Linked DNA regions of Saccharomyces cerevisiae S288C. Changing the gene in region 3 together with the main gene of any one other region gives a genetic interaction. Each region holds a gene or a part of one and is shown on either strand. Other genes may lie near its edges. The genes, in order: YPS6, BIO2 and CHM7.

What was found.
Region 1: mutations in CHM7 (region 3) and YPS6 together harm fitness more than expected from each alone (negative genetic interaction), as found in Saccharomyces cerevisiae (one large-scale study listed by BioGRID).
Region 2: mutations in CHM7 (region 3) and BIO2 together harm fitness more than expected from each alone (negative genetic interaction), as found in Saccharomyces cerevisiae (2 studies listed by BioGRID).

Annotation. Positions count from the first base shown.
Region 1 is NC_001141.2:430,403-434,162, forward strand, and holds YPS6 (aspartyl protease), read right to left. Parts: upstream 1,710-3,760; coding exon 96-1,709; downstream 1-95. Other genes in the region: seripauperin PAU15, read left to right, coding at 3,527-3,760.
Region 2 is NC_001139.9:1,063,207-1,066,920, forward strand, and holds BIO2 (biotin synthase), read right to left. Parts: upstream 1,735-3,714; coding exon 607-1,734; downstream 1-606.
Region 3 is NC_001142.9:344,116-347,875, forward strand, and holds CHM7 (phosphatidic acid-binding protein CHM7), read left to right. Parts: upstream 1-1,857; coding exon 1,858-3,210; downstream 3,211-3,760. Other genes in the region: ATP-dependent RNA helicase MTR4, read left to right, coding at 1-1,628; UBX6 (Ubx6p), read right to left, coding at 3,332-3,760.

The DNA.
Region 1 (3,760 bases), on a different chromosome or scaffold from region 3:
TAATAAAGTTTCATCGCCTTTTACACAGTATATAGGGCTTCACCTATACAGTCCCACACAGTAACACACTGCGAAACTATGTATCTCTTCTCTACTTATAAAAGAAAATAAGATATGAAGGACAATAATGAAAAGGAGAAAGAAGAACGGTATTTGTAACCTGCATTTTGTTTTTTAGTGGTGCTTTCGCTAGAGCCGCCACTACTTGAGAAAGAACTAGCATCATCGCTTTGGGCTGCGGTGGCAAGCAATGATTTGTACTGTGAAAATTCCGAATACGAGGTCCAGCTGACATTAATAAAATCTCCTGTTCCGATGGGACTACCGGGCTTATATACCCATGTACTAAAGTATCCGGGAGCAGGGGTGGCACCTGGGACAGTATCGGAGATAACCTCAATATCTTCTTCTTGATTATTAAAGCTAGCCTGAGCAATAGAAATTTCGTAGTTTTCTAAATCGTAGACTACATATGCGTCGACAAGGAAAGCATCTCCCAGCATATAAGTGGACTCGGATTGCTTAACATTTAAAACGCAACGATCCTTAGCTGATGTTACGAAATTGGATATGTTTGCCGATATATTAAATCCTCCAAAGTCGACGGACAGTAAAGTATCGTTCACTTTTGAACAATCAAAGATGTAGCCTTGGTCGTCAGAGCTGTACTCTCCGTCAAAACTTTTGCCGATTGCTTCTGCAATTTCGGTGGGTAAATAGGAGAAAGTTGTGCCAGAATCCAACATCACTGGAAATTGAATATCCGAAACAGTTTTATTGCCAGATTCACTATCCAAAATTGCCACACTTTGTGCAGTAATAATCATCCCAGGATTTGAGCCAAGGGTATTGAATGCCTGCAGCATAGGCAGGGTGTAAAGCTGTCCTGTGTACTTACTTTTGTCCACTGCACCAAACAAGATGCTCCCGAAGTGTGCATCAGGTCCATTCAAAAATAAAGAATACGCTATTTTATTAATCTTTCCCTGATTTTTTAATTCCATTGGAAAGTTATCATATATGAAAGGTGTTCTGTTCAATGCCAATGCGTATTCGATACCATCTGTAAATTCTGCAATGGGAAGCGATATGCCTAAAATGCCACTTGGATTGCCTATTGTATCATTTGATACACCAAAAGTGAAATCATTTAGAGTAATATTTTCGAAAGAGACAACATCCGTACCATAAGTCCCTGCATAATACGTACCATCTCCGTATGTGTTATTGAAAAACGTCGCATTATTCTCAAAAGTAGATGAGTTGCTTGCATCGAATGTACCCCAATAAGAGCAGAGAGTGTTATAAGCTTCTGATGAGATGGTAGTCGAAGGAAGCCCATTGAACGTTGCTGTGAGCTCGTAATTATCAGTTGAAGCGTAGTCAGATCCGTCAGACATCGATTTGCAATAGGCAATGTCAGCATTATTCACAATCATATCTGAAGAGCCAGTATCTAACTGTAGGTACAACGTTTGTGGAGGCGTTCCGATTTCCATCTTGACAACATACACTCCTATTCCATTTATCACTGTGGTGTTAAGAACCTCATTTCTTTTGAAGACGGTAGAAACATCCTGTGTGCATATATTTATAATATCAGCCAACTTTTGAACAGGAAACTTAACATAGGAACTTGCGGAAGACCCTAAAACGGTCAATGAACACATCAATGATGACAACAAAGAGAGGATGGAAATCAATTGCATATTGATAGCTTTGCGTTGTCTTCAAATATCCTTATTTTCGAAAGAGACAAAATTTAACAACTGATCAACCAATGAAAAAAGAGAACAAGGAAGAACGATGAAAAACCCTATTCCAAGATCATAACACCTTATATACTCTCAACTTTGAAAGCAGTTCCAAAGCTTAAATCCTCGAAGAGTACTGCTTGCATGAGGTTTACGCAACAGGTCTAGTCAGTTTTAACTCCTCGGATATCTCGAGATATTTTGCTGTAGTGAGCGACAGGGTAGCAAATTTTTGGACCCTTAACCCCTTATACAAATTACCACCATATGTTCCTTTTCTGCAGCGAAAACCTCGGTGTTGTCAGAAACAATTTAAGAAAAGCACAGGCGAAATTGGGCTTGCACTGGGTGATCAACAATGCCAGAAATAAATGAGAAGCTTTTTACTCTTGCTTTTGCTTCTTCCTCTTTATGTTCAAGCCAGCCAAGCTATGTTATAGTGTTGAATGTCTTGAACCGTTATAGTTTCTAAAAATAACTTTACATTTTGTTATGCAATCTTCATCATCTCGAACTTTTCAACAAACGTTCAACAGTGATGGTCTTCCCCAGTGAACCAAAAGACATATGACGCTCGTATGGTATGTTAAAAACAACATAGAGGATAGTAGGTCGGGGTTTATTGTAGAAAGGACATAAATAGTTGACGTGGTAAATTTTCATCAACTAAAGCCACATCTATTTTGCCAAGTAGGAGATAATGTAATATGTAGAGGGATCGAGATTTACTGAAGCCTCACGTGAGGGCAATCTGGAATCAGATTGCACTGGTTTGCACCATACCTCTCAAAGAAGAAAACGTACTACTTTTTTAGTTGAGTATGGATAGGGTAGTGTTTCCTAAAGTTATAAGGTAAAAGGGGCAGAGGAAAAGTCGATAATAATTTGAAAGAAACTTGCTTCCATATTCACAAAGGAGCTGGATACTTCATGTCATCCGCACATATATCTACAAAAATTTCAACTTTTTGAGGTTGATACTAAGTCTTTCGCTACCAAAATGAAAGAAATCAATTTGGAGAGACTTAGGCTGAATATTTCCGCGTTCTCTCTGGGGATGAAAGATTTCTTACTGCAAAGAGTTTCAGTATTTACGGATTGGTTACAATTTTTTTTTTTTATCATAATCAATTCTTTGAATATCAACTTCTCTCAATACCATCCGCCTCTCAGCGGCTACAATTACGTAATTGCACCAAGGCCTTCGCCGAGAGTTTACATATTTGCAGACCCTAACAGTATACGACTCCCAACACACGTTTAATGTTGTACGAATTCAAGAGATAGAAATATTTCTTGCATGGAAGCCGTTTAGAGCAGACTGAATATGGGCTTAGACAATAAGCTTCTGTACGAGGGTCCAAATCTAAAATTCGGATATTCTTTTTGACCGAAAAAGGAAATGTCACAGGCACAGAAAAGGGTTTTATAAGGCACCTCGGCACCCTATAATTGGCATTCCCACATTCTGCGCATACGAATACACATGAGTGCCATAAAACAATACTCCACATACGAAGTCTATGAAAGATGTATGATTCGTTCAGAAACAAGGTCATCTCCATAGAGATAATGAGATTGTGTGAAAGATGAGATATGGAGGATATGTGAGGTGCTAAATGAGCACCTGTTAACGAATCGTTTAAGTAGTGATGACTGATGAAGGCATGGGTATAAATAGAGCTGCTTCAACTGTATGTCTTTGAGAATATGTTTTTATTCCTTTCTTTCCTGTTAAGCTTATATCAGCACTAAAAAACAAAACAAATATAATGGTCAAATTAACTTCAATCGCTGCTGGTGTCGCCGCCATCGCTGCTGGTGTTGCCGCTGCCCCAGCCACTACCACTCTATCTCCATCTGACGAAAGAGTTAACTTGGTCGAATTGGGTGTTTACGTCTCCGATATCAGAGCTCATTTGGCCCAATACTACTTGTTTCAAGCAGCTCATCCAAGTGAGACCTACCCAGTTGAAATTGCTGAAGCTGTTTTCAACTATGGTGAC
Region 2 (3,714 bases), on a different chromosome or scaffold from region 3:
GTAGGAAAACCTTATGAAATTTTCTCTACCAGCTCTTGAAATAAAAATTTCGAACTCTTTGCAAAATTTCATCGAGAAAAAAAAAAGATTCGTATTTGCGGGTAATATTTTTTGGACATTTGTATTAGGAGCGTTATGTTCATTAATGTCATCCAAAAGATAGTTATAAATCTATGATTGTATGGTTTCTTTGACATATTTATAGTTAATATATATATATATATGTGTTTAATTTTATAAAAATTCCATCGTTTATATTCGATTATTTTTATATGTCAACCTTTTTTTTAAGAAATGTTCATATTTAGTCAAGTTCTTAATGAAATGAACGGTTGAAAGTACAAGGCAACTATCATTTCAAGATATAAAAAAATTGCCCAAAAAAAAAAGGCCATTTGATGAAATGTCTCATCGCGCTACGATTTCTGCTGTAATCAGAACTAAATGCGTGATCGGAAGTAATATTAGATATTGGATGCATAAAAGATAAAACGCCAGCTAACGATGGCAGAATAAATAGGTAAATATATATATATATAGGTTTTCTTAATAAATAAGGGAGAAATGTACAGTTAGAATCGTAGAATTATCCACATATCCCTATCTTCAAGATCTGTCGTACTTAAATGCCTCCATAGGTTGCAATCCCCATTTAGCCAACATTGCCTTGTCTTCGTCCCAACCGTTACACATTGTCGTCAGCATTTTCTTACCGGTGAAGATACTGTTACAACCTGCCATGAAACAGACAAATTGCTCTGTTTCTTTCATTGTATAACGACCAGCGGCAAGTCTTATAATGGCCTTTGGCATAACTATTCTCGCTGTGGCAATGGTTCTCAAAATTTCGTCGAATTGCAACTTTTTACTCTTTGGATCGGCAAGTTCCTCAGCCATTGGAGTCCCTTTGATAGCAACTAGTCTATTAATTGGTAGGGACTCAGGATGAGGAGACATATTGGATAATGTGTAGATGAATCCTATATGGTCGTCTTCGCTTTCACCGAGACCCAAAATACCACCGGTACAGGCTTTTATTCCAGATTCTTGGACATTCTTGATGGTCTGTAACCTGTCGTCGTAGGTTCTCGTGGTGATGACCTTACTATAGTGTTCTCTGGAAGTGTCGATGTTATGGTTGTATGCAGTCAAACCTGCATCTTTCAATTGCTTTGCTTGATCTTGATCAACCATACCTAAAGTAACACACGTTTCTAGCCCCATATCATTCACTTTGGTCACCATTTCCTGAATTCTTTTCATGGCTGATTTACGACCTTTCATGTCTCTCCATGCAGCACCTAGGCAGAATCTAGTAGATCCGTTTCTTTTGGCCTCTTCTGCCTCTTTAATCACTTCATCCACTTTAACCATTTTCTCAGCCTTTAGACCGGTATCGTTTCTCGAAGACTGCGCACAATACTTACAGTCCTCAGAACAACCACCAGATTTGATGTTCATCAATGTGCACAATTGCACTTTGGTTGGATCGTGCCACTTTCTGTGCTGCAATTGTGCTGCATGAGTAAGTTCGAGCAGTGGGGTATGATAAATTTCTTTTAATTGCGATTTTGTCCACGAATGACTTGGTTCATCTAAAGACAATGCATATTGTAGAGCACCCAGAGTACTAGCTTCTGAGGATGCAGTTGTCGATTTAACTGCGGCATTGGTTGCGTATTTAGTTAAAGCCGGTCTAGCGGTAGATAAATGACGGTAGATAGTAGACATCATACTGCACTAAATTGAAAATAATCGGCTAAGTTAGCTCTTCTGAGGACACCACTACCAGAAGAGTAAGATCTGAAAAATTTTCAGCAAGTATGGGAGCAAAAAAAGCTTTGCCCTTTTATATAAGATCTGCCTAAGAGAAGAAATAAAAGATACCAAGAGAATCTAGCAGAGTGGCAAACGAACTACATAGCCTGTAAATACAGATTAGGCAGCAGCGTAGCGGATTTTCCTCAGGCATCGTCTCTCACGTGAAATCTGTGGGGGCACCAGCGTGACAGGGACGGTTCTAATGCTTTGCACTTTTCAACAACTTTTTTCCATAACCAAATGCCGGCAAAATGGCTTCGAAGAAGACGCGAGACTTCATCCGCGAGTCATCTCGACATGACTATCTTTTGCTAGCCAACACGCCCCTCCGCAACTTCCCACGATAAAATTGTAAAGAACAGTACTGATGGACAGAGATTTGCGCAGTGGCATTTTTTGAAAATAAAATGAAAAATTATATATATATATTCCATACATAGTATATAATATGAACTCGTTTGACTTGGAAAATTTTAGATGCAACAGGCAATATCGTTGGGCTTTTTTATTTGATCATTAGCTTATTTGAATATGAAGGTAATGACCAAGGGCTACTAATGTCTTTCTATTAAGCCGTTTTACAATTGTATATTTTGTAATTTGCATCGCAGTCATAACTTCTTGCAAGAAATAGTAGTTTCACACAATGAGGTAGTTTCGTTGGAGATGCAGTAATAATGCAGAATACGGATCTCACGGACCCCAAGAGAAAGCTACGCAATCTTACGGCTTGTAGGTTCTCAGTTCCCAATCGATGCAAAATGGGTAAGTATTTTCAAGACTGAAATAAGGTCGCTTAGAAACGGTTATCCATTTACTATTATCTGGAAGCTGCTTTCCACAGCTACCTACTTTGGAGTAATGGTTTCCGGGAAGACTTCATCCTAGAGCCTCTTGCTGTTGTTATTCGAAGTTCAGATTCGTAAATGGTAGTACGTTCTGCTTTCGCAATGAATAACTAGGTCACATAAGCCCTAAATGCGTCAGTAGAAGATCAGATGCATTGACCACATCATATCCTTCTAAAGTAATTAATTGAGATTTAATATTTTTCGTACTGATGAGAAAGCTAAACTAGTGCAACTATTATAGTCACATTTGTACGGAAAAGGCAGAAGCAAGAACAATGACTTGAAAGAGCGTATAGCTATTTAACCATTTCCATTTGTATGCTATAATTCAAGTATTTCCACACTCTTAACTAAAACGAATCAGAAGAGTAGGCTACTAAGAAAGATGGCTATCCTTAATAAGTACTATCCGACGTTGAATTGAAGATTAAACTGAGCCACACATTCCCATCTTCTGCACACTTAGTTCCTTATTTAGAGACTTTTATGATAAAAATTTCTTCCGTTCACTGTTAAACAACCTTGGGAACAATGCTGACTGTGCAGGAAAATGACCTATGTTTGAAGGATGTTGCCACATAATTGAGGCATGTTAGCAGAGCATTCCCTACCACTGGAAGGAGTGATGGTTGATGTATTTTCCATTGAGACTGTGACATTGTGATACGATACCTAATCAACGACCCTATATAACTCATTAAAAATGGCTTTCTAGAAGCTACATCTATTTGATTAAATTGGTTCCCATTTTCACAAATATTTTGCCACCTCTCCTTCTCGCCAAGGATTTGTACAAAATTAACAGACCTTTTAGAATAAATATTAAATTTAGGTCAGCAGAATACGGCCACCATCTCATTCTTTACTAGATCAAGCGTCAATTCCAATAATTATAAAAATATAAGTCAAGAAAGCATCTTTCTTCGAGTCTCCTGCATTCGGTTTGCGTTCCTCTCTCGTTCTGCTTGACAAAAGAAAGAGTTTTTTATTCTCCTAACCAATAAATTGAAGCAATCAGCTATAGGGTTAGATGTATTCGTTT
Region 3 (3,760 bases):
TTTCAGGTGGAGAATATATACAAATGTCTGGTCGTGCAGGTCGTCGTGGTTTAGATGATCGTGGTATTGTTATTATGATGATTGATGAAAAAATGGAACCTCAAGTTGCTAAAGGAATGGTTAAGGGCCAAGCAGATAGGCTAGACTCGGCTTTTCACTTAGGATATAATATGATTTTGAACTTAATGAGAGTTGAAGGTATCTCTCCGGAGTTTATGTTGGAGCATTCTTTCTTCCAATTTCAAAACGTTATTTCAGTACCAGTTATGGAAAAGAAACTTGCTGAACTGAAAAAAGACTTTGATGGCATCGAAGTCGAAGATGAAGAAAATGTTAAAGAATACCATGAGATTGAGCAGGCTATCAAAGGTTACCGTGAAGATGTTCGTCAAGTTGTCACCCATCCGGCAAACGCCTTAAGTTTCCTACAACCAGGCAGATTAGTTGAAATCTCTGTCAATGGTAAGGATAACTATGGCTGGGGTGCTGTTGTCGATTTTGCTAAAAGAATTAACAAACGCAACCCAAGTGCTGTCTATACAGACCATGAATCCTATATTGTCAATGTGGTCGTCAATACCATGTATATAGACTCTCCAGTCAACTTGTTGAAACCTTTCAACCCTACCTTACCAGAAGGGATTCGCCCAGCGGAAGAAGGTGAAAAAAGCATATGTGCTGTTATTCCCATAACTTTGGATTCAATCAAGTCGATTGGTAATTTGAGACTATATATGCCCAAAGATATTAGAGCCAGCGGTCAAAAAGAAACTGTTGGGAAGTCTTTAAGGGAGGTTAATCGGAGGTTCCCGGATGGTATTCCCGTGCTGGATCCTGTTAAAAACATGAAGATCGAAGATGAGGACTTTTTAAAGCTAATGAAGAAGATTGACGTTTTAAACACAAAGTTATCCTCCAATCCCTTAACCAATTCCATGAGACTAGAAGAACTATATGGTAAATATAGTAGAAAACACGATTTACATGAAGATATGAAACAATTGAAACGCAAAATTTCAGAATCACAAGCCGTAATCCAACTGGACGATCTTCGTCGCCGTAAAAGAGTTTTGCGCCGTTTAGGATTTTGTACTCCTAATGACATTATTGAACTGAAAGGTAGAGTTGCATGTGAAATATCTAGTGGTGATGAACTGTTACTAACAGAATTGATCTTCAATGGTAATTTCAATGAGTTGAAACCGGAACAAGCAGCAGCATTATTATCATGCTTTGCATTCCAAGAACGCTGTAAAGAAGCGCCTAGATTGAAACCAGAGCTTGCCGAACCTTTGAAGGCTATGAGAGAAATTGCAGCAAAGATCGCTAAGATAATGAAGGATTCTAAAATTGAAGTTGTAGAAAAGGACTACGTTGAAAGCTTCAGACATGAACTAATGGAAGTTGTTTACGAATGGTGTAGAGGAGCTACTTTTACGCAAATCTGTAAAATGACCGACGTTTACGAAGGTTCGTTGATCAGAATGTTCAAGAGATTAGAGGAATTGGTGAAGGAGCTGGTAGACGTCGCCAATACCATTGGTAACTCTTCACTTAAGGAGAAGATGGAAGCTGTCTTGAAATTAATTCATAGAGATATCGTATCTGCTGGTTCTTTGTATTTATAGTTAATCACACACAATTATGTATTTTTATTGGTATATATAATAAACAAATAGATTTCATCAACATTTATTATATAATAACATTTTTGTTTGGGCAAGCACACTATTGATACACCCATACAACTCAATGAAGTGCAGCGTTAGTAGAGACAATAAGAGGAGTTTTAAATTCTTAAACTATATCTGGCAAAACACCACCAAAGCCAGCCAAATAGTATCTCACTGTATCTGAATGAAAGTAGATTTACCAGAATCCAGACTACCATCTTTATATAGAGATTTTAGGCCATTGAAAGATTTAAATCCCGATGGGTACGAAGCAAACATCAGTACATGGAGGGATTTCTTCTTGCAACAATACATCAGCAACTCCAACAGAATCATATTTACTATAGGGACAAGGACTTTGCAAGAATTAACTCATGAAGTTTATGGCGTACCGAAAAGCATTGATATAGCAATTGACGTTCTTGTTAATGAAGGAAATTTGATACCTATGGAATTATTCAATCTTGGTGGAATGTACACTGACAACAGTAGAAAAGGATTTTGGAAGTGGGTTAGAAGTTGGAAGGAGTCTACAAACATGTATAAAAGCCGGAAGGATGAAACAAATTTCTACTTGAGAGAAGACAAATTTATTATCAAAGCAAATTTGGAAAAAGAGTATCAAAGGTTTCATGAATTACTCAAAAGAAGTGTTTTTATGGAGGCTTCATCTATTACAGATTTAGTATTCACAAGGAATGAATTTGTGACCACAGAAAGTTTGCAGTCGTTCTTTTCAACCTATGATGAAGAAACGAAAAACGTGTTCCTGCACTTTATAGAGAATTATAAGCACATAATAGTTTCAAAAGACAATGTTATCAAAGTCATTGCCGCTGAAGTAGAAGACATTACTAGCAGGTTCTCCAAAGGCATCACAGAAAATGACCTTCGAATTGCTAGTGTTAAAGTGGGTATTATAAACATCAACAAACAAATTACAAGGCTAAGAAAAGAAATTAATGAATCTAACATTAAACTGAGAGGACCAGAGTTTAATGAGCTGCCGAAGAGAATAAGGATTGAATATAAACAGGCGAGATTACTATCTGAAAAACATCTTTCTAGGTTACTAAAGTTTCAAAATAACCTCGCTCAAGTAAGAACTCAAATAGACACCAGTGCTACTAATGCGGTTTTAATTCAAACTTTAAGTGAATCCAACGAAGTAATTAAGTCAATTAATGGATATATTGGTTCTACCGAAAAAGTAGAAGACTTACTAGATGAGATTAAAGAGGGTCATGACCGTACCGAAGAGGTCAATGATTTATTAGCTCATTATAATAAAGGTCAAGACGAAGAAGCAGAAGAAGAAATTGAAAGAGAATTAGAACAATTAGAACTTGATGAAAAGAATAATAATAAGGAAGAAAATAAGAACCAGGATTTGCACGAGCCAAAAGAAAGCAGTAGCGAGGATCTATTAAAGAGATTGAATAATCTGAAGATAAATACAAATGAAGGACCTGTGCAAGATAATGAAAACCACGATAATGAGATAAGAAAAATCATGATGGAAGAACAACCACGTTGACGAACTGAGTGACTAATAAATAAATATATATGTATAAATAAAAAATAAATATGAATATTTTAATAGACGGAAGAAAGAAAATATGTGTGAATAACCAAATAGGAAATAAACAAAAGCACATTTAATTGTTGCCGTTATTATTAGAGTAACCTAATGTACGAACTTTGGTATTAGATGCAGAATTATTGGAAGACAAGTTTAGTTCAGACACGTTTTGTCGCAATTGAGAAGTACCATTAGAAGGATACATCCTTGGGGTAGTATATGCTGAAGGAGTCATTGAATCACCACCACCTCCTCCTCCCCCGTCCGACACCATGTCTAAGCTAGATAATTTTTGTAAAGAGTAGTTGGCGCTGTTTGACACATTTGTGCCCAACCTCTGGTAACCAAGACGGGAGGAGGAAGCATCTACTTCCGGTTCTTTCGCCCAAAAAGATGTCAAACCTGAGTAAACCTTGTGTAGAAGAGAAGATTGTTCCATGTAGTCGAATGTTTTGTTATTGGCTTCCAGCGGTTCTAAGATGAGAGTCGATCTGGGCAACAGATC